Linked DNA regions of Drosophila melanogaster. The protein of the gene in region 1 interacts with the protein of each later gene in a pairwise test. Each region holds a gene or a part of one and is shown in the gene's direction. Other genes may lie near its edges.

Region 1 (8,686 bases):
ATGTGAGTTCCAGTTCCATGCCAAATCTGCACTCGCCTTCAGAGGAAAAACCCTGCCCACAACTGGAGCTTCCCGACTTAAGCTTTCTGGAGGAGAACAGTACCGTATGCAAGGAACCCCCACAAGCATTGAAATCAGAGCTGGGAGTACCTTCAACTGTCGTCTTACCCGACAGATTAATAAGTCCGCCCAAGGCAAAAGCAGTACAAACTGAGGACACCAAAGCCAAGGAACATGTGGCTCATCTGAAGGGAGCTACGTCCCAAAGCTGGCAAGGCAAAGCTGAAATACCATTACTACCCGCTTGTGTGAAGGCAAGTGTGAGGATGTCTCCTAGCATCAAATCTAAGGGGTCTCCCTTCAGCAGTCCGCCCAAGAAAGCAACCACCCAGCCGCAAGGTCAGTCACCACCGTCAACGCCGCCTGCCGTCAATATTATTATCAGTGTTCCGGAGTTAAACACGGGAATGAACGGCTTGTTTCTAGACGCCATTAAACGCCATTCCACAGAAGCCAAACCCGCGCTACGTGGCGTAGGGAGACGCCCTAAGCGACTGGCCAAGGGAACCACCAGCAGGGGGGGCATTCGCACACAGGATGTAATGCACTTGATCGAGCATTTGGAAACCACCACAGAAGCGAAACTTACGACACCACGGACGTAATAGGCTGGCATTTAGCTTACTCAAGTATTTGAAATAAATTTGCATATGAAATAATGCATGAAACCTCCGGATAAGAATTCAAGTTCGTTTATTTATAAACAAGTCCGTTACGCTATGTTTTTTTTTTTTTTTGGCAACTCAAATTGTGGATTACTAATTCGCGGCACGCGTCTAGAGCATGTTCAAGTGGACAGGAGAGATAGCGCTGCCGACAAGAGAGCGTGCTATCAGTGGAAGTGAACTTTGGAAAGGAGGTCGTGGCAACTGCGTCACGCGGAGATCTGTTTCAAGCCGCGATTAGCTGTTGAGCTGCAGAGACTGACTGATAATGCAGTTGAACGTCATCTAAGCGCTGTGACAGTGATTGCGATAGTGATGTCAGTCACGATAATATGGCATTACATCGACCCTTTGCAATCAGTTCAATAATCGTGCGACCATGTGGGGTAATCGCATTCGTGTGGACGGCCGGGGCACTTGAACCTAGTTGCCAACTGCCGGCGTAAATTGTTTCTGCTGCGTAGTTGCCTGTGTGGGCGGGGGCCGTCGGGCAGTGGGCCAAGTTTATTGTTTGTTTGGATTGATATATATAAAACGAGCGAAAAACTAAATTTGTCTCCCTATCTTATCTCCCGCAGGCGCCGACGTTGTCCACACAGGCCACGACGCACTGCAGCCATGGCTTCACCACCAGCTCGTCGTCGCCCAACCGTGTGGTGACCCGCTCTGCCACCATGCTGGCGCTCTTCGGCATCGCGCTGTCCTCGTTCAGCCTTAAGCAACTGCTGGCCAAGAAGCAGAAGCACCAGGGCCTGCGCAAGCTCTAGAATGGAGCTATAGCCAGAAAGATTAGAGCGATGCCAACGCCAACGGTTGAAGCGGCGATGAGGAGCCAGAGCGCCATGTCCTGAGGTCACACATTCGATATTTTCATCATCCGCCATCATCGTGTATATTTGCCTAAGTTAAGTCACCCACTCACCACAGACCCAAGCGGAACTCGGACATGGAGGCTTGTTTTGTAATATTCTGTTCGATAAACTAACTGATCGGAGGCGAGGATCTGTGCGCATATATAGATATATTTTCTTGTTTACACATGCACACCATGCGTCGCCAACTAAAAGGAATAAATTTGTGATAAATCGTGTATGAAAAAAGCCCATCGGCAGACAAACTGAACGAAGGAGCGATGGAGGAGAAGATTCGCTGAGCTTGCGGGAATCCCAAATTTTCCTATACTCTTTTGTTGCCCGTTTTAGTAATATTTATTTTATGTGTAAACAAGTCTATTATATACGTATATTTATTTACAAGTTATTTGCAAACCAGAGAAACGACTAAGTAGGGAGGTATAAAACAATAATGACTTCGTTGGACTGCAGATCGCCGAGCAGGCTGTGTCAGTATCCAAGAAACAAACTAGTTCTAGTTCCGTATTCAAATAAATGCATTATATTCAATTCGAAAATATTGATTTTTATTTCTAGTTTCCGTTAAAACATGCATGCTAAAGCACATATGAATATTAAGCCAGCACCTAGAGGTTATGAATAAAACATTTTTAACATTTTCCTATAGTTCCTAGTCTAATATAAAAAATAATTATTTGTTCCTCGGGTTAGTGACTCGTTGATGATTTGCGTGAAAACTAAGTACTTTAAAAGAATCAACAGCATAACATAAACTTTCGGCTGTCAAGGCCTAGATACTCTATACCCTTGAAAAGTTATATTTACGTTAAAATAGCTTATCCACCATCCGTAAGTTCGCTGTAAATCCCCAATCTATTGAATAGTTTCTTTTTTCTTGTTTATGCAAATAAATACTTTAATTCCCAAAAAATAATGTTGTGGTTATTAATAATATTAATATTAATAAGCCAACATATTATCTAAAAATATATAATATATGGTTCGCCTAAAATTCTTTAATTTCTTTATCACTTCTAAAATAATAAAGTGCCAAGGACAGTTTCCGAAGAATTGCTTTAGCAATTGCATTTCATTGTAGAGGCGTTAATGTCTTGAATTACATTTTTAGGACATTTATATGGACAGCACATAAACGTGTTTCAACATCCGAAGGTTCAAAAAATTTAGTTTCAGCTTCAAAAATCCGCATTTGAATTTTGCGCCACATGTGACAAAAGTATTGCGCAGCGGCGGCACCACAGCTGCACGGATTTCCGCAGCGCTGAGCGAGGGTCACACTGGAAGGGTAAGCACCTCACCCCCCCGCTCAATGATCAAGTGACGTGCCACCAATATAACCATTGGCCGGCCAACAGCACTCTTTCGACTGCGGAATGGGCATCAACGTCAGCAGGACGGCCGACCTGGGGTCCAACCAGTGGCTCCAGCGCTTCGTGGGCCGCCAGCACATCGCCCACGATGACGAGGCCTTCTGGAACGGGCTGCTCAACTACAACATTGTGCTGCCGGAGAACAGGTGAGTGGAGTGGAACAGGAGTGGAGCAACAACGTCAGCAGGGCTAATCTCGGGCGGTTTGAAATGGTGTGTGTTTCAGTCAGGACCAGCTCAACCTGGACAGCCGGCTAGAGGCGCTGTGCCAGTCGTTCATCGGCAATAACCTGAAGACGGGCAACTTTGGCTCCCTGGTGACCGTGTTCCTGGAGAAGACCAGCGAGCTGCTGTCGCTGTCGGACCAGGAAAGCAACATGCACGTCTGGCAGACCTTCAACGCGCTCTTCATCATCCGCAGCCTGGTCAAGTACATCAACGAGACGGGCTCTGAGTTCCAGCTGCTGCAGCACTTTGAGGCTATGCCGAATGCAGAGCTGCTGCAAGCGGCATTGGAGCAGCAGCAACAGACGCCGGCGGAGAGCGCCACCATTGCCATGGAGGCCACCGAACAGTCGGCGGCGGCTGCGGTTCCAGTGATTGTGGACGGATCTAAGTTTGAGACCTTCATCGATGCCCTGGTGAACCTAATCGTCGTGATTCCCGTCAAGGAGTTCACCTACCACCTGCACCTAGAGGCCGTTAACATGCTGATCACCCTGCTGTCAGTGCATCTGTTTGCCCAACAGCCCACGGACAAGTCCATCGTGTTCCGGACGGTCTTCAAGTGTCAGCACGCAAACGTGCTGATGTCGGCACTGCTGCATTTTGTGGCGCGTATTGTGGAGGTGCCGCACACCATGTTTGGGTCCAGCTCTGCTGGATCCTTTGTCTTTGGCATCGCGGAGTCGCTGCTTTCCATCTTCACGTTCCGTAAGCAGCCAGACATACTGAAAGCGGGCCAAGCAGCCGGCGGTGGAGAGCTCTCGCAGCGATTCCGTACCCACTACCCACTGGCCAACCAGAGCCTGTTGCTGATCCTGATACTGACTAACCACTGCACGGCACAGGATAACGCCTATCGGACTAGCCTTTTCAGTTGCGCCGATTCAAAGGATTCACCAAAACAGGGAGCTGTCTCCTTCCAGATCGACTTCTCGGCGGTATATGAGACATTGTGTACCATCGTTACCATCGACCAGGCCACGCTGCTGCTCTATCTGCTGCTCCATCGCAACGAGCGCTTCTACCGGTTCGTCATGCAGCAACAGGACTTGGAGCAGTTGGTGATCCCCATCCTCCAGACACTGTACAACGCCCCCGATAGCAACTCACATCACATCTACATGTCCTTGATCGTGCTGCTGATCCTGAGTGAAGACGAGGGCTTCAACAAGAATGTGCACACCATAGTAGGTCATCTGTGCGTGCTAATAGTTGCATTACTAATCCTTTCTCATCCCTGTAGATGCTAAAAAACATCACATGGTATACGGAACGCACCATATCGGAGATATCGCTGGGCGGCATCCTAATCCTTATCGTCATCCGCACCATACAGTACAACATGCTGAAGATGCGCGACAAGTACTTGCACACCAATTGCCTGGCGGCGCTGGCCAACATGTCCGGCCACTTCCGCGCTCTACACCCTTACGTGGCACAGCGACTGGTCTCGCTGTTCGAAACGCTCGCTCGGAAGCATACGCGCCTGGATGCGCAGCTCAAGGAGCCGGCCGATAGCGCAGTGTTTGTGAACGTCTCGACGACCCCGGAAGACATGCTACAAGATCTGAGCGTGCTGGAGGAGGTGTTGCGCATGGTGCTGGAAATCCTAAACTCCTGCCTCACAAACCAGTTGGTCTACTGTCCCAACTTGGTGTACACTCTTTTGTACAAGCGCAGCGTCTTCGAGGGCTTCCGCAGTCACCACGCCTTCCAGGATGTCATCCAAAACATAGACATGGTATGCGCACTAGTTCCGATCCGATTATGCGATGTGTCTCATGCTGTCTTCGTTTTCAGGTTGTCGGTTTCTTCTCCTCGCGTCTGCAGCGTGTCCAGGAGCAGAGAGGCGAGCTTGGGGTCAATGAAGTGCTCGAGGTTATATCTAAAGGTGCCAGTCAGTGGTCCAGCGATCGACTGAGAGTAAGTAATCCGCTCGATGAGTTACTCACTCAAATCGCAGGCTCACTTATTCTTTTTGTGTTTATCCTGCAGAAGTTCCCGGATCTTAAGTTTAAGTACGTCGAGGAGGACGCTCCCGAGGAGTTCTTCATTCCATATGTGTGGACGTTGGTCTGCAAGTACGGCTGCGTGCACTTCAGCTCGGAGAGCATCAAGAGCGTGACCACGGACATAGCCTGCTAATATTTACTGCTCTATCCCTTCCTCTCACGCACACACCCGGCTCCGCTTTGGTTTCCACCATGTTTCGATGCTTCTCCGTTTGTCTTCTGTGCGGGATTACCCGATCTTTAAGCCATATACCACGCCCTACCTTTTGATCCAACCCAAAATGTCGAAATGCAGTATCAAAAACAAAACAAAGCAAGAGAAATGTTGCGCTAAATAAGAGGCATGCGCATCTCGAACGTTGACGACAAGAGGAGACAAAGCAAACGAGAGAACTAACGATAATACATAGACATAGCTACGCTTATACTAATGTGTATGTTAACAAGCAATCCGGTCGGAAATTGTTGTTCAAGTTAAAATATAGCAACCTTGAAACATGATCATATTTTGCCAAGCCGACTGCAATGAGCATGTTTAGAGGGAAGTTAAGCTCCGTACGCCTACAGATCGATGTTCTAATCAATGGGAAGCAGCAAATCCAATAAAAAGTATATATACATATTAAAGAATCGGAATATACAATATATGCAAAATATATTTACATTTTAGTCTATGGTAATTATATATTGTATTGTATTTAGCAATTGAAAACGTCGATAAACTATATATTAACTAAAGTTAACGCTCTTGTGTTTTTTCTTCTGTCTATGGCAGCCTTTAGTGTTATCTGCGGAAAGCCCAAATTTATTTGGGTTGGTTTTTATCAGAACAAGAATGTGATTAGATCTTCTTTGCAATTCGTCATCGGAACGTGGCAGTGTTTTATGAAAAAAGTAGTTGGTCTTTTGAAATGGATTTATCATTAAAAACGAAGTTCACTTCTTGGAAAGAATTCAGTGTTGAGAAGTATTGGTTAGTCATATTACTTCAAGATTCATTGGGTTCGTATTTGGTCAGTTTATTTTAAGCTAAATATCCACATATCCCAATGGGTATTCATTATATTTCGCCAAAGAAATATCGCCAAACGGAAGCTTCAAATGAAGTTTCCTTTATTACGTATACGCCGGGTAAACAATGCTTAAGCACCTCTTCTCCCGTTTATCATTTCCACTACGCATACGGGCTTCGCTGTTTGCACTTCATTGTGCATATTTGCACTATCGGCTGCAACAACAACGATGATGGGCTGGCTGCCTTGTTTATTGTTTATTACTACTGCTACGTTTTTTTCCCACCACCAGCTTCATCGGCTAAATATGTGACTAAAAAGCCGCGGGAAAAACGACGAGATGACTTTTACTGCCTGCTTACATTGGGGTTCGTTGACTTGAACGGCTGGGCGGTAAAGGGGGCTGGACTTGGAGGATGGGGGCTCAATCCGCTGAAGGTTTTGTTGTGGTCTCGTCGCTGTTGCTGCACTCTTGTCAGCTCTGCGTACGTGTCTTAAATAAGCAAGTACACAAATAACAACGCACAGGTTAGTATTGCGATAAAAATTGCATTTGTTTTATCGCCGCCGAAAGGCGGAAAATTTGTTATTGTGAGCTTTTCATGGCGTGCTGCATTTTAATTCACTTTAGCCCACAACAAACGGCGAAAATTTTTCAAATTTCTTTTGGACCCCCCTTCCCCCATTTTGCCATTAGTTTTCCATGCTGGCTAAAAAGGTTTATTGACTTCGGGCCGCGTTTTGTTAGCCATTTGTATTGTGCTGCCAATTTCCCAATTGATAGAATTTGCCAGAAGCTTAGCCGAGTTCGCAACCCTCGGCCTGCCATTGCGAAAAACGAATATCGAAAAGTGGCAAAGAAAACTCGAAAAGAGTTGCGCATGCGCACACTTGATTGGCGCTCTACCCCCTCCCACTCCCCGCTCCAATTGTGGTTTGTTGGGCAAATTTCAGCGCAAATTAGTTAAACCAACTTAATAAGTAATAACAATGATTGGGTTTAACGCGATACAGTTGTTAAAGGTCGGAAATGAGCAACTAGTGCACACTCTTAACTGGAAACATTCTTCAAAATGGCCGCCAATTTAGTAAGCTGCTTTATACAAAAGGCAAAGCTTGAAATGGTATTAGGATTTCATGAATGCGTAAATGCATATAATTGCGCTTTTATCAAAAGTAATACAAAATAATAATATGTATAAGGACTACCTATCTTATAGGTTAAGATAAATGTAAAAGTAACGGCTGTACATGTACTCCATTCATAGCTTAACAGCCTAAAAATAGCTTTCTACTTCAAATTTGTTTGCCATTCCATTGAATTTTAAAAATTTTATTTCCTTATATGACTATTTTATTGCAATAACGTGGTGTTATTATTGACCAATGTTATTTTAATCCAATAACAATGAAAAAGTTTTCAGTTTCTTATATATTTCAACAAAATTATGCTTTTTAATTTATATATGTATATATATATTAAATATGCTGTATTTTAGATACGGCTTAAGGAAACCCCATTCCCATTGTAACTTATTTCTCGGGAACGGCGAATGGGCATAAGCTAACCACCGATGGCTATTACTTTGTTGGACCACTGTCCAGGCCACTGCTCTGCAGGAGGGGATCGACCACTCCAATGGAGCTGGAGCGGCAGCCAGTTCATTTGTCGCCGCTGGGGATGGATGATGTTGCAACGTAGCGGCTGGGCCCGCATTTTCGCTTTTTGTTTTGGCAAGCGGCTTCAGGTCGTTGATCCACCGATTTTCTATTTATACCGACGAATGCAGGCCCGCACAATAATCTTGGAAATTTGCCCAGTCCCAGTTTCAGTTCCAGATCGCAGATTCCAGGTCGAGACTCGAAGTGAGTCCAAGTCGTGAGTTCCAAGCAGGCACGTTGGCCGAATTGGAGATCTTGTGGTCTTTCTCTGACTGTTTTGGCTGGCCGACTGGCCTGTTGCCAATCGACTTAGCATAAATTCGCACCTCTCGGCTGTTTATGTTTACCTGCTTTGACTTTGGCTCGGATTTGGTATTGGAATCGGTTTCGCACCGGTTTGTTTGTTTGCTCCGCCAGATCCGCCGAATTCCGAGTGACTCCGTCACTCCGCCGCCGCATCCGTGCGTATTTCAGCAGCTGACGCACTGGTTTGCCTAGACCCAACTACATACGTGTACGTGGTCCACTCATCCATCCGTGCCGTGCCTGACCTTTGCAGCTGCCGATCTTGTTTGCTATGGTTATGTCCGTCTACATCTGGGCGATCGATCGATTGATTGCCCATCGCATGAATGGGCCAGTTTCTCATTGGGAGCTCGTCTGTGCTTTGGACCATTTCCAAGTGAAATCTACATATGAAAGTTAGCCTGCTGCTACTCGCCTCCGGCAATTGCGCCCAGCGATATCTCGCACTTTTGAGGCCGTTGGTAATTGTTTTCGCTACTCTTGGCTCGAACGGCCCAAA
Region 2 (7,059 bases), on another chromosome or scaffold:
AACTACTCGCAAAACGTCAACCACAAAGACTACTAGAGAGCCAACTACAAAGAGGAAAACAACAGAAAGAACAACAAAGGAGCCAACCACTCGTAAGACAACAACCCATAAGACAACAGAAGAACCAACCACCAATAAGACAACAACTAAGAAGACGACTCATGAACCCACAACTAAGAAATCAACTACTTTAAAGCCTACCGAAGAACCAACTACTCGCAAAACGTCAACCACAAAGACTACTAGAGAGCCAACTACAAAGAGGGAAACAACTGAAAGGACAACTCAGGAGCCAAGCACCAGTAAGACAACAACCCATGAGACAACAGCAGAACCAGCAACCAAAAAGACAACGCATGAACCCACAACTCAGAAATCAACAACTTTAAGGATTACTGAAGAACCAACTACTCGGAAATCATCAACCGCAAAGACTACTAGAGAGCCAACTACAAAGAGGGAAACAACAGAAAGAACAACAAAGGAGCCAACCACTCGTAAGACAACAACCCATAAGACAACAGAAGAACCAACCACCAAAAAGACAACGCATGAACCCACAACTAAAAAATCAACTACTTTAAAGCCTACCGAAGAACCAACTACTCGCAAAACGTCAACCACAAAGACTACTAGAGAGCCAACTACAAAGAGGAAAACAACAGAAAGAACAACAAAGGAGCCAACCACTCGTAAGACAACAACCCATAAGACAACAGAAGAACCAACCACCAATAAGACAACAACTAAGAAGACGACTCATGAACCCACAACTAAGAAATCAACTACTTTAAAGCCTACCGAAGAACCAACTACTCGCAAAACGTCAACCACAAAGACTACTAGAGAGCCAACAACCAAGAGGGTAACAACTGAAAGGACAACTCGGGAGCCAACCACTCGTAAGACAACAACCCATAAGACAACAGAAGAACCAACCACCAAGAAGACAACAACTAAGAAGACGACTCATGAACCCACAACTAAGAAATCAACTACTTTAAAGCCTACCGAAGAACCAACTACTCGCAAAACGTCAACCACAAAGACTACTAGAGAGCCAACTACAAAGAGGGTAACAACTGAAAGGACAACTCGGGAGCCAACCACTCGTAAGACAACAACCCATAAGACAACAGAAGAACCAACCACCAAGAAGACAACAACTAAGAAGACGACTCATGAACCCACAACTAAGAAATCAACTACTTTAAAGCCTACCGAAGAACCAACTACTCGCAAAACGTCAACCACAAAGACTACTAGAGAGCCAACTACAAAGAGGGTAACAACTGAAAGGACAACTCGGGAGCCAACCACTCGTAAGACAACAACCCATAAGACAACAGAAGAACCAACCACCAAGAAGACAACAACTAAGAAGACGACTCATGAACCCACAACTAAGAAATCAACTACTTTAAAGCCTACCGAAGAACCAACTACTCGCAAAACGTTAACCACAAAGACTACTAGAGAGCCAACAACCAAGAGGGTAACAACTGAAAGGACAACTCGGGAGCCAACCACTCGTAAGACAACAACCCATAAGACAACAGAAGAACCAACCACCAAGAAGACAACAACTAAGAAGACGACTCATGAACCCACAACTAAGAAATCAACTACTTTAAAGCCTACCGAAGAACCAACTACTCGCAAAACGTCAACCACAAAGACTACTAGAGAGCCAACTACAAAGAGGGTAACAACTGAAAGGACAACTCGGGAGCCAACCACTCGCAAGACAACAACCCATAAGACAACAGAAGAACCAACCACCAAGAAGACAACAACTAAGAAGACGACTCATGAACCCACAACTAAGAAATCAACTACTTTAAAGCCTACCGAAGAACCAACTACTCGCAAAACGTCAACCACAAAGACTACTAGAGAGCCAACTACCAAGAGGGTAACAACTGAAAGGACAACTCGGGAGCCAACCACTCGTAAGACAACAACCCATAAGACAACAGAAGAACCAACCACCAAGAAGACAACAACTAAGAAGACGACTCATGAACCCACAACTAAGAAATCAACTACTTTAAAGCCTACCGAAGAACCAACTACTCGCAAAACGTCAACCACAAAGGCTACTAGAGAGCCAACTACAAAGAGGGTAACAACTGAAAGGACAACTCGGGAGCCAACCACTCGTAAGACAACAGCCCATAAGACAACAGAAGAACCAACCACCAAGAAGACAACAACTAAGAAGACGACTCATGAACCCACAACTAAGAAATCAACTACTTTAAAGCCTACCGAAGAACCAACTACTCGCAAGACATCTACCACAAAGACAACCAGAGAGCCAACCACTCGGGAGACAAGCACATCGGTTAAGACAACAGCAGATCAAACAACAAAAAGGACGACAGCTGAAATGAGTACAACAAATCAGGAACCAACATCCGTAGAAACTACTACCAATTCATCGAATCAGAGCAATACGACCACGGAATCAACCACCACCGAAGAGCAACATGTTCACCACCATCATCACCATATTCATTATCACAAACCCGCTGATCTCGGTCCATCAATTCTTCCACTTCCTGATCTTCCTCCTCTCCCGTTGCCCCTGCCCTGGCCCCCACTGCCACTTCCTGAAATCCCTCTACCTTTGCCTCCTTTACCAACAGCGTTGCCTCCGCTGCCCCCCCTACCACCTTTGCCACCTTTGCCGGAAGTAAATTTAACAGCAATATCCTTACCAGAAATTTCCCTTCCAAATTTGCCACCACTACCACAATTGCCGAATCCTTTCCCAAACTTCTTTTGGGGTCGTTAAACACTAAAACCATTAAAATTGTATGAACTTACATATTATAAATGTGCCATTAAATATATATTTATATAATATACAATTATAAATAATTTATAAATTTAATTATTATATTTTTCAACTTATCTTTAAGAAGAGCAAAATGGATCTTCGTCTTCAAAAACAAGACCAAAAATTGGGCTTAAAAAGAAAATCGCTTTAATGTAAAAAGCCCTGAACACATATATCTAATTCATTTCGTCAAACTCTTAAAACTATTAAAAAAAAAAACATGTTTAAATTCTGAAATTTTTACACAGTATTTTGTAAGTAACTTGACATAATTTGAAATTCATCATTTAAATATTTGTATATATATCGATTTCCCATACGATATTATGCTTATCGATGGTATCGGCACTATCGTAAGTGATTGCCCCAGCTCTAAGCGGATGGCTCGGCCATTTCGTTTTTGTCTTCACCCCAATAAAGTTGATAGACCTACAAGTAAGCATTTTCGGTTGGATTATGTGGGAAATAAATGGTGTTTAATTTAATCAGCATGCGCCATACCACAGTCAGAGTTTTGATATATGCTAAAAGCTAGCTAAAAGTGTAAAAATCCAAGTGATGGGTTGTATCTTTCGTAAAAATCAATTGTCCCTTTGGGGGACACCACGTGTTCCAAAATGGCGACTATATGTAGTAGGGTTAACACCTTTACTTTATTTTGCGGTAGTCACTATGAGACTTGCGGCTAAAGATTAGGTATCTGGCTTGGGAGCAGAAAATCTTAGGATTTACAATAAAAAACGTGAACCTAACCTATTTTTTTAACTCTCTTTCAGAATGGCGGACGAAGCTCCAGCCCGTAGTGGATTCCGTGGCGGATTTGGCTCTCGTGGTGGTCGTGGTGGACGCGGTCGTGGCCGTGGACGCTGGGCCCGTGGACGTGGAAAGGAGGACTCCAAGGAGTGGGTGCCAGTGACCAAGCTGGGACGCCTGGTGCGCGAGGGCAAGATCAAGTCTTTGGAGGAGATCTACCTGTACTCGCTTCCCATCAAAGAGTTCGAGATCATCGACTTCTTCCTGGGATCCTCGCTGAAGGATGAGGTGCTGAAGATCATGCCCGTCCAGAAGCAGACCCGTGCTGGTCAGCGTACCCGTTTCAAGGCCTTCGTTGCCATCGGCGACAACAATGGCCACATTGGTCTGGGCGTTAAGTGCAGCAAGGAAGTGGCCACCGCCATCCGTGGTGCCATCATTCTGGCCAAGCTCTCCGTGGTGCCCGTGCGCCGTGGCTACTGGGGCAACAAGATCGGCAAGCCCCACACCGTGCCCTGCAAGGTCACCGGCAAGTGCGGTTCCGTCTCCGTGCGCCTCATCCCCGCTCCCCGTGGTACTGGCATTGTCTCGGCCCCCGTGCCCAAGAAGCTGCTGACCATGGCCGGTATTGAGGATTGCTACACCTCGGCCCGTGGCTCCACTGGAACCCTCGGCAACTTCGCCAAGGCTACATATGCCGCCATCGCCAAGACGTACGCGTACTTGACCCCCGATCTGTGGAAGGAGATGCCTCTGGGCTCCACTCCTTACCAGGCATACTCGGACTTCCTGTCCAAGCCCACTCCTCGTCTGCACGCCGATGCCTAAGTGAACACTTTCGAGGCCAATCAATCCAGAGTTTTTGAATAAAGTCATAAACTTTTAAATGTAATCGCTTCGTGTTTGTTATTGTTGTGGACATTGGTCGATTTGGAGATTCTGTTGTAGTTAAACTATTTGTAACTTAATAGAACTTATGTCTCCTTTGTTGATCCAGACAATGCAGTAAAAGCATTCTACTAAAAAACAACAGGAAATACGAAACGCATTGCTTGCTGCTTACATGTAAGAATATATTTAAAAATGTACACTTAGGATAAGAAGTAAAAAAGGTCTACGCCTTGACTCCATACGCTTCTGGCATACGCTCAATCGCGTACTTATGCGCAGCCACGTACATGATGGGCACGCCGGGAATCTTCCGGATGCGATTCTTAAGGTCCTTGTCGTTGGTGGCCACAATGTAGCATTTGTGCTGGCGCACCCGCTCCACGAGGCAATCGTCCGCATAGGTGCCCTTGTGCAGGCACGGCAGTCGCTCGAATCTGGGATCGGAGATGATGCGCAGGGCCAGCTTGTACTTGTTGCCCAGCTTCTCCAGCTCGGCACGCACGCAGTCGGAGATATAGGGTATGCACTTGGCATACAGACAGTCCATCATACCTTGCACAATATCCAGTTTGTTCTTAATGCTAAAGTTAATGAAGTTCGTGTCCAGAACGATGTGGTACGGCGGTCCCAGCTGGGTGTTGTACTGGAAGAACAGAGCGGAGCTCTGCTGGGTGGCCTCGTGCACCTTGATCTGGTGCGGATCCTCGGCCTTCTTTCTTTTCACTCGAATCTGATCCTTAAGCCGCGCGTCTGTGGGTTTTATGATGCGTTTAAGCTGTGCATTACGTTGTTTCTTAACCTTCTGCGTTTTCTTGTGTTTTCCCTGCAAAAGAACTGAAGATGTTAGGTCGGGTTTAATTAAATATTAAAGATTTATATATACCATTGTAAGCTGTAATTCCCAAAAACTGTAAACAATATAACTTAAAAAGTGGCACACGTGTGGTAAGTATTTTGGTAAAATCAGCTGTTTGGGCTAGATCACCGAAGACAGCGATAGGCAATCGATACATCGAATTAACATATAAATATGAAAGTTTTTCATATATTAAGTATTTTATGAATGATTTAATGAAAATTAAATGGAATATCATTTATTCGGTTAAGTTAATTATTGCACATTCTTATACAATATATATCAGGCAAAAACCAAACAATTTTTCCGATACGATACTACCATGGTTGCATTCAGAGACATCGATAGTTGGCCGCCATCTTTTCACAGAATTTTTCCTTCCACGTGCGATGACGAAACTCGTTCATTTTATTTCAAGACTCGAAATGGTAAGTTGTGTGCTCTTCGTAAATAGTTTTATATCAAGTGAATTAAAGTGCTTAAATGGAAGAGTGTTATGCCTCAAATGATGAAACAGATGACGAGACTGAAGGAACAAATTCTCGACTTGGCGCTGTATTTTTCAGTGCCTCGTTATATATTTGTTCATTTAAGATGATTCGGCGATCTGATGGCATATAACTTCAAGAACTTTCTTTGGGTTTGGCAAGAATATGTTCTAAAAGTTCTGTATTTCTTGCAGTGAACAATATTGAAACCCTAAGCATTTGGATAAATCGAAATCCGGGCACTCCACGTGCATGGTGCATGTGAGACACCTCGGGACAACATGTGAGCCCGTTGAGACACCTTGGGCACTGAGCCCACTGGAGACGCCATTGTCACATTGGAGGTAAGATATTAATACTTTTGGTTGGTCTATGCTTCTCTGATGATCTTTTACACAGACCTGTACTGAGCTCATAACCGTGCAGAAAATTGTAAACTGAAACCTAATCAAATATATAAAATATTTGGAAGTACTCCTTGTACACACTGTATTGATGCCATTTTCTTTTATTTCCAGAATTTACATTCTGGTTTGAGGTTATGTATGGGTCCAGCTGCAGCAGCGAGCACATGGATTTACCGATAAAGGTAATTTATTTACACTAACATTTTTATGTTTGAATGCAATATACGTTTTACTGATGATTAACTTCAACACCTTTTGCGGTTTCCACCAGAAAGCTTCGGCTTAATGATGGTCTAAGGCGTCTGACTAAAAAGTTTCAATAAAAACTTTATTATACTTAAACTAGCATTTTACTTACCTATTTTATCTCTTGTTTCCAGATCAACTCAGAAATGTGGTTTATCGCAGGCAAATATAACTAAATGAGCTCGTTTATTCGACTGTATAAGGTAATATTTTCGAGAATTTTTTTTTTTAAATTAATAAATAAACTGATGATTACCTTAAACACCTTTTGCGGTTTCCACCAGAAAGCTTCGGCTTAAGGATGGTCTAAGGCGTCTGACTAATACAAATATATATATTTCGGCTGTCTTGAGATGATGTATTTAATATATTTTATATTTTACTTTAATTGCAGAGTGACGTTGCCTTGTGTAAAAGATCTTGATATAAAAAGAATTGGACATCTTCAAATACTAAAATAAATAAACTAATAAAATCAAATAATCACGAATTGTATATATTTTTTATTGTTATTGGGATGGTGGAAAAGAGCCGCAATTTGTTTAATCAGTTGTACAAATAAAGTATTGACCT
Region 3 (10,492 bases), on another chromosome or scaffold:
CTCGGCGGTATCCATGAAGCCAGTGCAGTTTACCTGCGTCCTTAGGCTTAACAAAGGGCAGTTGGCGGAAAATGGCTTCCGCGATGAGGTGATCGAGCAGGTGTGTGGGCTTCTGTTGGAATATCTCGCTCATGAGTCCACCTCGCTGGCCTTTAGTGATTTGGTGGTGCCCACTGTCATGGCCATCAAAACGTACCTTAAGGAATGCAGGAATGCCAATTATGCTCGAAAACTTAAACAGCTGCTAGAGAAGATTCAGGAGAGTGCCCGCTTCATAGAGCAGCAACGTGGCAAGAGCAGTGTCACTTTTGACATAAAGGATGCGCAGGCGGTCGCCGCCTGGGAGCAGCAACTCCGTCTTAAGCGCACTCCACTAGACGTCTACTATGCCAGCTGGCTAAAGACACACGAGACCAAGAAGCGACGACAGGCAGCACATACAGATGAAATCAATGCGGACTATGATGTGCCCAAGCTAAAGAAACTACCGGTCAAAACCGGAGTACCAGTGAGAAATGAAAACGGCGAGGTCGAACTCTTCCCCTCGGACTCGGAAGATGAAGGCGATGATGGCCTGCATTTGGGATCAGATGATGATGACGACGAGGATGTACAGGAGGAGGAGGAGGTGGAAGTTGAGCACCCTAAAGCCAAAAAGGCGAAGAAAGAGAAGCCCGAGAAACAAAAACCTCGGCCAGCAACAGTGGAAGATGATTACGACGAGGCGGGTGGAGCCGTGGATATTGTTAAGGACTTAGATTTGAACGAATGGTAAAACATTTAAGATCAATTTAACTATATTTACACATTAAATTAAAAGGAAAACCAATATAGAGTTACTTCTCCGGTGGCTCCTTGCCAGGAATAAACTCATACTCCTTGTATTTGGGAAAGGTTCCAATAGTTGGTCCGTCCACCTGCTTGGGCAGTGCCTTGTCGTCCTTGCCCTTGGCGTATGTTGCTTCCAATTCGGCGGCGTTGCGTTTCTTCATGTCCATAATCTGAAGATTTTTCACCAGCTCTTCGCGGGTGGGCGGCTCCTCCCGGCGCCCTCGTAGCCACGCCTCCCATTCGGCAGTCAGCTCCTGGTCGAAGGCTTCCTTATCCGCTGGCTCGAACCACCGGGAAGGCTTCCTCTTTCCAATCGAAGGATTTGCAGGAATTTCGTAGTACTTATTCCCGAAATAGTCCTCCCCAATGTAATCCCCACGAAACTGCCGCGGTCGTAGGGACTTCCAAAAGTTCTTGAAGATGATGCCGATCACATCGCGCGTCGGCTTGTTAGCCATGCTTATTTTAACTTAAGAGCGAGGAACTTAAATTTATTTTAGAATTTGAGGTTAGGTCTTGCGTTTGTTATGACATGAACAGCTGGTGGCGGTGTTGCAAAATGCCGGCAGGTTTAAAAGCGTAATTCAAATTCGTAAAATTGGTTTCAGTGGCAATGCATAGGGACTAAACCAGTCCCGCAGAAAAATTGCCATTAAATCTGTACGGAGACTATTATTGTTGTATTCCATGTCCTGGAGTACTAATCCAATGCCAGCTGAGTAAGTAAAATGCTCTCCCGAAAAACTGGAGGTGCCTATAAAGGCAACCCTATCGGTGACTAAGTACGAGTTGCAGTTAACTCTACCGCCGGAAATCCTCTCCAGTTCATTTGTGGTGGGTACAACAAAACGTCGCTGCAAGAGCAAAGAAATTGTTAATAAAATTGCCAATACTTATAAGCTCATTACCATTTGTATATCTACTCCTTCCGTAATTTTGTCGAGCGCTTGAAGGGACCTCAAGAAGTGATCCTCGCTGGGATCCGAATACTTCCACCATGAAATAAGCACCTTAATGGCCACACCGCGTTCCAAGGCAGCTCTACGCAGGGCATTGTCTATGACCGGCCAGTACTCCAATTTGTTACTCCGTCTTAGCCGAGGAGAGTACTCCATTAAGGAGAGGTATATAACGTCTGTGGCCTTGTCGATAGCCTCTAAAATGGCATCTAGCTCTCGGGTCCTTCCAGTAGCGATCAACTCTGGTGGTGATGTGGATAAATAAGCTCTCATTGTATGTTTTTTGTTGATGTTTAGCAAAAGCGGTCTTCTTTGATTGATGTGCGTGTGGTATATCCACGGCCAGCTCTTTGGCACTTCATTGCTGCCCAGGTACCAATACGCCTTGAAGATCTTTCCCAGATCTAGAGCAAGATGGGGACAATTTCTGGCCAGCACACCTAGTTCCTTGCGTTGCGTCAGTGATCGCCAGTCCATGCTAGCTGTGCCCAAGTAGAAGTGCTCCCCGTCCACTAACCACAGTTTTGAGTGCAGAAAATTAATGCCCACGACGTCGGCTGCTCCGTAGTTAGCCAAGATACGGGCATCAGCATGCCACAGGCTATCGTGGCTGCGATTAACCACAATCCGCACGCGCAGCTTGGGTCTGCCGGCATCTCCATTCGACAGTAGCTGCTGAAAGAGTTGATCTCCAGGCCCGGTGCTGCTATCGTTGACGTCCAAGCCGCGCAGTGTCCAGTGCGGAGAAACGATGTCCAACGATGCCTTGGCCCTGCCTAGTAGTAGCTGCCAGGCATCAAAGGTGCTACTCAGTTGGGGGTGGCTTTGCCATTGGCTGTAGTTCAACCCCAAGGGCAAGCTCTCCACCAGTTCGAGTTGACATGGTAACGGCTTTTCCACCGGAACGGGGCTGTTTCCGTTTTCATTTCGATGGTAGGTCTCCCAAGGCAACAGAAGCACAATCATCACCAGAACGAAGAGTATAAGCACTGGTATGATGTAGCCGTGCTTGCAGGAACAGATATTTCGCTCATCCTGGAGCCCTAGGCCGCAATTGGGACGCCGGCAACACGATGTGGTCAAAGGGGTTGGCTCTTCCGGTGCTCTGGGCACTGGCTGGTACTCTCCGGGTATCTCATGCACTACGCGACGCTCGGACATGGCAAGGGGATCAGGACTAATGCTGACTGGCCATTGTCAAACATTTTTCACAGCCGAGCCTATTTATTATTCGCGCAGTTGTGGGAAAGTATCACCCGCCCACGCAAACAAATGGGCAGTGTTGGACAGCACAGCGCGGTAGTCGTCTGCGCTGGCTGCTAAAAAAAAGCTAAAGGATAAATTAATCCAAGTCCCTGCTCAGAAAAATAAGTTGTCGTCAGTGCATTATTTCAGCATTTACTTCGATTTAAGTTTTAACGCCATAGAGTCCATTAATTCTCTTGAAGTTAATAAATGTTTATCGCTTTAATTCAAAACTGATAAACTTTCTATGGTCCTATTTATTTAACGACCCAATTTTGGCGGGAAACAAGCCGGCGGAACATTGCTGACGCGTATGCGTGACGCCAGCTAACACTGGTCGCCGTGGTAAAGAATTTAGTCTGTCTTAAAATCTTCCGGCTGAGAGGGCTGAAAATTTTGACGGCTTCGAAGCATTTGCTGCAATATCAATTTCGTCGGGTTTATTTCGAGTATCGCTTAATCAGGACGCGACCATGGCTGCGAGATTGATGAACGCCCAGGCACAGGTAGGTTCTAGAGCGGAGCCTGTGCCTCCAGTCGGCCAATATATAACCACGGCTATATATACGTTTACGTATAGAATCTGTGAATGGAACCCCGAAATTCCAAGCTGCGATAAAGACAACTGGACAGAGCACTGCGCGAAAGTTTACAAAAAATCATTGCCCATTTCTTACACACCCAGCAGGATGTGGGCAGCGAAAAATAGCAAATTTTTCGCACAGCGTTTTCTAACCTAAAATCATAAAATTCGAAGTGGTTAGGTAACCGAGTTCGCAGTGTTTGTGATTCTACAGGCCCTGCATCCCAAACATGTATACTGAATACGCAGCAGTGAACCATGCGAAATCGTTAGCTCTCAACAATTAACAGCGATTCGTGGGGGTTCGATGGTTGGCATAGTTGCATTTACATAATCGCCGGGGTCCAGTTATTTAACCAGGAGGCGAACACCCTCTAGAGCATATATCTTGTGGCGGAGGACCGTCTTATCTGTGACAGGTTTACTTACACTTTGATAATGCCAGCACTAAATATAGCTTAAAAAAGTTGCGCCGTTTAACTTGAGTATCACGCGCATTGGAGGAGTTTTGCCTTTCAAGTGGGGTTTTTCCACGTCAGCTTCGAGAAAGGTTTCACTGTACTCTGCCCATAAGTTAACGACCTATTTGACGTAATTGTCATTGCAATTGTTTCGATTTGCGTGTATGTACATACAGTCGTGTCGTCACGTGGTTCTTCTAATTGGAGTGTTCTGTAGAATATTGTAACAATTTGAAAGGCTTACAAACAAACTATATTTCCAGCTACTTTTTATTTTTTTATTCTGCAGTTCGAAGAACCTTAAAGCACTTTGGCTAGCACTTAAAATACTTTGATTGTTAAATGTAAACTTTCAATCATTTTACTAATCTCAAAAAAATATTTGGAAAAATTTCACTCTGAAGCGGTAAATGGATCAATGGATTATTTTTGGCTATTCAAAAATTTCAAGACGATTAAAATTTATTAGCTTTAGCAATATATTGATCTTAAAACAAGTGAAAGCGGTGATAATAATGTTTTACATTTGTTATATATGTATGCAAGATTAAATGTACAGTAAAGAAGAATTTTCACAGATATGGTCCCCACATGATTGTACTCTTGTCAGAATATCTTTGGGAATTATCATTTCCTGATAGAGGAATCAATTTAATTAAAGTGACGAGGACTCGTCCTCTTGACATGATAATCAAGTGTTTATTGGGCTACCAAGCGAATAAATAAAATCTCACAGTGTGCGAAGTGCAAATAAACTAGAGAATCACATTGTGTTAATTACTTGATCTTGATTGCTAAATGTACCACTTCACCATATTTAACAGTTCGACTTCTTATCTGCTTTCCAGGTGTGTCGACTGGGCAAGCATGTTGCGTCCGAAGCCACAGTGGTGCGTCAGTTCCACGCCTCCTGCTACACCGCCTCCAAAGTGGCTCTGTCCAAGTTCGACTCGGACGTCTACCTGCCGTACGAGAAGCTGAACAAGCGCCTGGAAGTGGTGCGCGGTCGCTTGAACCGCCCACTGACTCTCTCCGAGAAGGTGCTGTACTCGCATCTGGACGATCCCGCAAACCAGGACATCGTGCGCGGTACTTCGTACCTGCGTCTTCGCCCCGATCGTGTGGCTATGCAGGATGCCACTGCACAGATGGCTCTGCTTCAGTTTATCTCCTCCGGACTGAAAAAGGTGGCTGTGCCCTCCACTGTTCACTGTGATCATTTAATCGAGGCCCAGATTGGTGGACCCAAGGATTTAGCCCGTGCCAAGGACCTGAACAAGGAAGTGTACGATTTCTTGGCCAGCACCTGTGCAAAGTACGGATTGGGCTTCTGGAAGCCAGGCAGCGGAATCATCCATCAGATCATTCTGGAGAACTACGCTTTCCCCGGCCTGCTGATGATTGGTACTGACTCACACACCCCCAACGGTGGTGGCTTGGGTGGCCTGTGCATTGGCGTTGGTGGTGCTGATGCCGTCGATGTGATGGCCGACATCCCCTGGGAGCTGAAGTGCCCCAAGGTGATTGGTGTCAATTTGACTGGCAAGATCAGCGGCTGGACCTCGCCCAAGGATGTTATCCTGAAGGTTGCCGATATCCTGACCGTCAAGGGAGGCACCGGTGCCATCATTGAGTATCACGGCAAGGGTGTTGACTCTATCTCTTGTACAGGCATGGCCACCATCTGCAACATGGGTGCTGAGATCGGAGCTACCACCTCTCTGTTCCCCTTCAACCAGCGCATGGCTGATTACCTGAAATCGACAGGCCGTGCTGGCATTGCCTCCGAAGCCCAGAAGTACCAGGCCAAGATTCTGTCCGCTGACAAGAACTGCGAGTACGATGAGCTGATTGAAATCAACCTAGACACCCTGGAGCCCCATGTTAACGGACCATTCACTCCCGATTTGGGCCATCCCATCAGCAAGCTAGGCGAGAACTCGAAGAAGAACGGGTACCCTATGGACATCCGTGTAGGTCTTATTGGCTCTTGCACCAACTCTTCGTATGAGGACATGGGTCGCTGCGCCAGCATCGCCAAGGATGCCATGAGCCATGGCCTCAAGTCGAAGATTCCTTTCAATGTGACTCCCGGATCAGAGCAGATCCGTGCCACCATCGAGCGCGACGGCATCTCTGAGGTGTTCGACAAGTTCGGCGGTACCGTTCTGGCCAACGCTTGCGGTCCCTGCATTGGACAGTGGGATCGTAAGGACGTTAAGAAGGGCGACAAGAACACCATTGTCACCTCCTACAACCGAAACTTTACTGGCAGGAACGACGCTAACCCGGCCACCCATTGCTTTGTCACTAGTCCCGAGTTGGTCACCGCTCTGTCCATCGCCGGTCGTCTGGACTTCAACCCGCTGACCGACGAGCTTACTGGTGCTGATGGCAAGAAGTTCAAGCTCAAGGCTCCCTTCGGCGACGAGCTGCCCGCCAAGGGTTTCGATCCCGGCCAGGACACCTACACTGCTCCCCCACCCGTAAGTACATTTAAATTCCCAAACTGATTTATATTGTTCTTAAGAATCAATATGGAAATCCCACAGAGCGGCGAAAATGTCAAGGTGGCTGTCGACCCCAAGTCGACGCGTCTGCAGCTGCTGGAGCCTTTTGACAAGTGGAACGGCCAGGATCTGACCGATCTGACTGTGCTGATCAAGGTTAAGGGAAAGTGCACCACTGACCACATCTCCGCTGCCGGACCCTGGCTGAAGTACCGTGGCCATTTGGACAACATCTCCAACAACATGTTTATCGGAGCCACCAACTACGAAAACAACGAGATGAACAACATCAAGAACCAACGCAACGGTAGCTGGGGAGGAGTTCCCGACGTAGCCCGCGACTACAAGGCCAACGGCATCAAGTGGGTGGCCGTCGGCGATGAGAACTACGGCGAGGGTTCGTCCCGCGAGCATGCCGCTTTGGAGCCCCGTCACCTTGGTGGTCGTGCCATTATCGTCAAGTCCTTCGCCCGTATCCACGAGACCAACCTGAAGAAACAGGGTCTTCTGCCTCTCACCTTCGCCAATCCCGCTGATTACGATAAGGTTTGCGACTCTTAGCTTCTGTGACTAAGGTCATATTAACCATATCTTTGTACTTCAACAGATCCAGCCCACGAGCAAAATCTCCCTGCTCAACCTGAAATCCCTTGCGCCTGGAAAGCCCGTAGATGCCGAAATCAAGAATGGCGACAAGGTCGAGAGGATCAAGCTTAACCACACCCTGAACGACCTACAGATCGGCTGGTTCAAGGCCGGCAGCGCTCTCAACCGCATGAAGGAGCTGGCCCAGTAAATGGTCCTGGACCTACTTAAGACACCCAGTCAAGAAGCCTGATCCCAACCTTCTTCCTGTAGGTGAACACACTCAAATTCACAACGGAAGCAATCGAATTATGGTATTGTTATTCAATTCTTTTCAAATTGTTTATATTATATTTTGACTATATCGAGTGTGCAGCTTTAAAAGTGAATTATGTAGCCGAACGATAGCGAGAAATTGTAAGAGTTTTATATATATAATTATACACAATTTTATTTTTAATTCTGGCTATGCATGCGTTTCCTTCAATTTTTGTTCTTTTTGAATTTGTCCAAATGCTCTACAGATTGCCTCTACTATGAAACTGTTTTAAGTGCGAATAAAACTCAAGTAATATGTATTAAACCGATTCTTTCATTTAATAAACAACAGTTAAAACAAAAAAGCGGACAATAAGTGCCGTCAATTCATCCCGTGTCCTCTATATTTTCTTCATTATTAACATAATTTTATCAATTATAAGACGTAAGACACAACAATTTGCACAATAAAGCATAATATCAATAATAGAATCTACTGGGGCAGATTACTTAATTATTCACCCATAGCTTTTGGAAAATATGTCGAATTGTCAATCAAATATAAATTATTAGTAAATCCAATTCTAGGACTATGAAACGCAGAGCTCAAAGTAAAACTTCCGTTGCTTCCAGCACGGATTTCTTTTCACTCTCCGACAAGCCATCGTTGGGAAGAAGACGAGCCCTACTGGCTGCAAAACTTAAGCGTCAGGAACAGAGTACAACGTCCTTTGACTCCAGCACAGGCTCCTACACTTATACAGACGCCACTTCTTTGCGAAAGACCCCCATCACCTTCTCACCTAGCCCGGAGTTCATGAAGACCGCCAAGGCTAAATTAAAGTTAATCGCATTGTATGAAGATCACAAATGCTTGTGGAATCAGCGCAACAAAGATTTCTTCAATTTCGAGCTCAAAGACAGAATCTGGGATGCGATTGCCGATGAAATGAAAGCGGACTCGCCATCTGGGTTTTGGAAACATATGATTCACAAGCTTCGCTATAAAGTTGAGATGGAGCGCATACAAGAGCAGGGTGCAAAGTTTTCGGGTGAATCGCCGCAGCCAAAACTATTTTATTCAGATAATCTGCTGTTTCTAAATCACATGTTTGACCGAGAAGGGGGAAAACCCCCTCGAGAGATTGTATGTTTATAGTTAACGAACAAATCACTTTAGTATTTATTCTACTTTTTACTCAGCCAATGCATCTTAAGCCTTCGGGACCTACTCTCGAAAAGAATCCGTCTAGAAACCTGCGACATGTTCAGGAAAAACGTAAACGTACGCCCATTAGAGAAAAGATGGCTTCGCTTGAGAAGTTGAGGAATCTCCAAAATAGCAAGTTTGTTCTCTCCCGCGACGCTTTTCAAAAAATTCAAAAAATTACTAGTGGCGGTCCCTATTACTTGACAAAAACAAAGATTAGACCATAGGCCTTGATTTGAATATCTCAAAATAAAAAAATGCAATGCAAACACATTTGAATCGATTTTTCGCTTTATTACATTTCTTGTATCATAATCGTTTTGTTTTTCTGGTTTTGCCATTTTTTAAATATTGACGTTTTATATAACAATTCATAATTTTAGCTTACAATATTTTTGTTTTGTATTCTTAGAATCGTTTATGCCTTTTGCCATGAAAACACTTCTCTCTCTAGCAAATATACAATTTTCGAAACTTGTGATTTTGCAATTATTTATTATGTATATTATATATATTATATGTATATAACTAAAAATGCGTAAATTAATTTTTTTTTGTTTGTTACGTGGTTTGTGGGCACATTCCTTTTATCAAAAGGAACAAAACATGAAAATGTACATAAGTGTTATTGGCAAATAGTTTACCATCTGTTTTAGATCTTGATACACATACGTGCATCATCGATATAAAGAACCTGAATTGTTTTTAAATTTCGAAGCGGCAGTTGCAGTTCTGTATTTGCGCCTCATGAATTGCTCGTTTAACGTGTCTCTCTAAAAGGCAGGAGCAGCTGTGAAGTGCTCGAAGGCAAGGGTCGATCCGTCCGCCGTTGGATCTTTATCCTTCCTGACCGTCCATTGATTGGCCATTGTCCTATTATCGAGAGCCCGCCGCTTATTGGTTGGTTGATTATTTTTTCTCTCATCTATTTTTATGAAATGGCTGTTAAAAATTTTGGTTTGAACGCATCATTCCCATTCGGTGGTGCCCGGCGGCTTGGCTGTCAAGTCGTACAGCACCCTCGAGATTCCATCCAGCTTGGATATATCGCGTACAATTTGATTTAGGACCTTTGAGCAGGAAAAGATTAAATATACATTTTTCAGAAAGATTGAAAACTGACTCACTTGCAAAGGCATTTGCACGGATCCGGGCTCAGCCGGCACACCAGTCATAAAGTCGTTCGTTATGAACGGACGCAGCACTACCGACCTTCTGCACGAGGGTGTGCGGTTAATGGGATCGCGGTCAAAGTGCACGGGTATGAGAACAACAGGCATCTGCGAGATCTTCCGGTATAGTCCAGCTTGCATTATGATCTAAAACGGTTATGATATAATACATTTTATTTATTTCTATGACAAATCCACTTACTTCATTGGCAATATCATCGGCTTGCCTCAGCTGCGAAAGAACTACAGTATTCAGTGTGGTGTGCGTAATATCCGTCACTAGATACTGTACGGGTTCGCCGAAGATATAGCACACCCTGTTCACGTTGTGCAGAATTCGCGGTATGATTTTGGCGAGGAAGAGAAGATCCTGCCAGTTGGGCTCCTGGCTCGTGGATAGGCCTACTACGTAGCTATATGACCGTTTATCACCTTGCACGCCCACTGATCGGATGGGCAGCAAAGTTGCCTGGATCTGCGAGTTCGATGAGATACGCATAAGGTCTTTCTGTTCCGCCTCGCTCGTGGCCGCCGTTACGCGGTTGATCAAAGCATGGTTCTTCTGCAGTTTATTCTTGTAGTCTACAATCACGCGGATAATAACCTACAATTAAATAGTATATTTATTATAATAACTTTGACAGCAATTAATTGTTAACATGCCTGAGTTTCTGAGTA

What was found. The genes of interacting proteins can lie anywhere in the genome.
Region 2: the proteins of CG8230 (region 1) and RpS2 interact in a two-hybrid assay, tested with the Drosophila melanogaster proteins (one large-scale study listed by BioGRID).
Region 3: the proteins of CG8230 (region 1) and mAcon1 interact in a two-hybrid assay, tested with the Drosophila melanogaster proteins (one large-scale study listed by BioGRID).

What each region holds. Positions count from the first base shown.
Region 1 is NT_033778.4:8,941,559-8,950,244, reverse strand, and holds CG8230 (uncharacterized protein), read left to right. Parts: upstream 1-2,900; 5' UTR 2,901-2,973; coding exon 2,974-3,116; intron 3,117-3,195; coding exon 3,196-4,381; intron 4,382-4,437; coding exon 4,438-4,935; intron 4,936-4,994; coding exon 4,995-5,117; intron 5,118-5,189; coding exon 5,190-5,339; 3' UTR 5,340-5,947; downstream 5,948-8,686. Other genes in the region: CG8229 (uncharacterized protein), read left to right, coding at 1-665; CG33199 (uncharacterized protein), read left to right, coding at 1,304-1,492.
Region 2 is NT_033779.5:9,893,694-9,900,752, reverse strand, and holds RpS2 (ribosomal protein S2), read left to right. Parts: upstream 1-3,200; 5' UTR 3,201-3,280; exon of another isoform or gene 3,281-3,541; intron 3,542-3,621; 5' UTR 3,622-3,622; coding exon 3,623-4,426; 3' UTR 4,427-4,488; downstream 4,489-7,059. Other genes in the region: Muc30E (mucin 30E), read left to right, coding at 1-2,800; Bka (bekka), read right to left, coding at 4,713-5,312, 5,373-5,375. UniProt on the Drosophila melanogaster protein: Component of the ribosome, a large ribonucleoprotein complex responsible for the synthesis of proteins in the cell.
Region 3 is NT_033779.5:21,165,264-21,175,755, forward strand, and holds mAcon1 (mitochondrial aconitase 1), read left to right. Parts: upstream 1-3,306; 5' UTR 3,307-3,508; coding exon 3,509-3,541; intron 3,542-4,927; coding exon 4,928-6,565; intron 6,566-6,631; coding exon 6,632-7,135; intron 7,136-7,196; coding exon 7,197-7,385; 3' UTR 7,386-7,921; downstream 7,922-10,492. Other genes in the region: Noc2 (nucleolar complex protein 2), read left to right, coding at 1-775; CG43346 (uncharacterized protein), read right to left, coding at 837-1,289; CG43345 (uncharacterized protein), read right to left, coding at 1,416-1,685, 1,740-2,951; CG31627 (uncharacterized protein), read left to right, coding at 8,025-8,579, 8,636-8,869; bur (burgundy), read right to left, coding at 9,611-9,712, 9,770-9,961, 10,017-10,418, 10,478-10,492.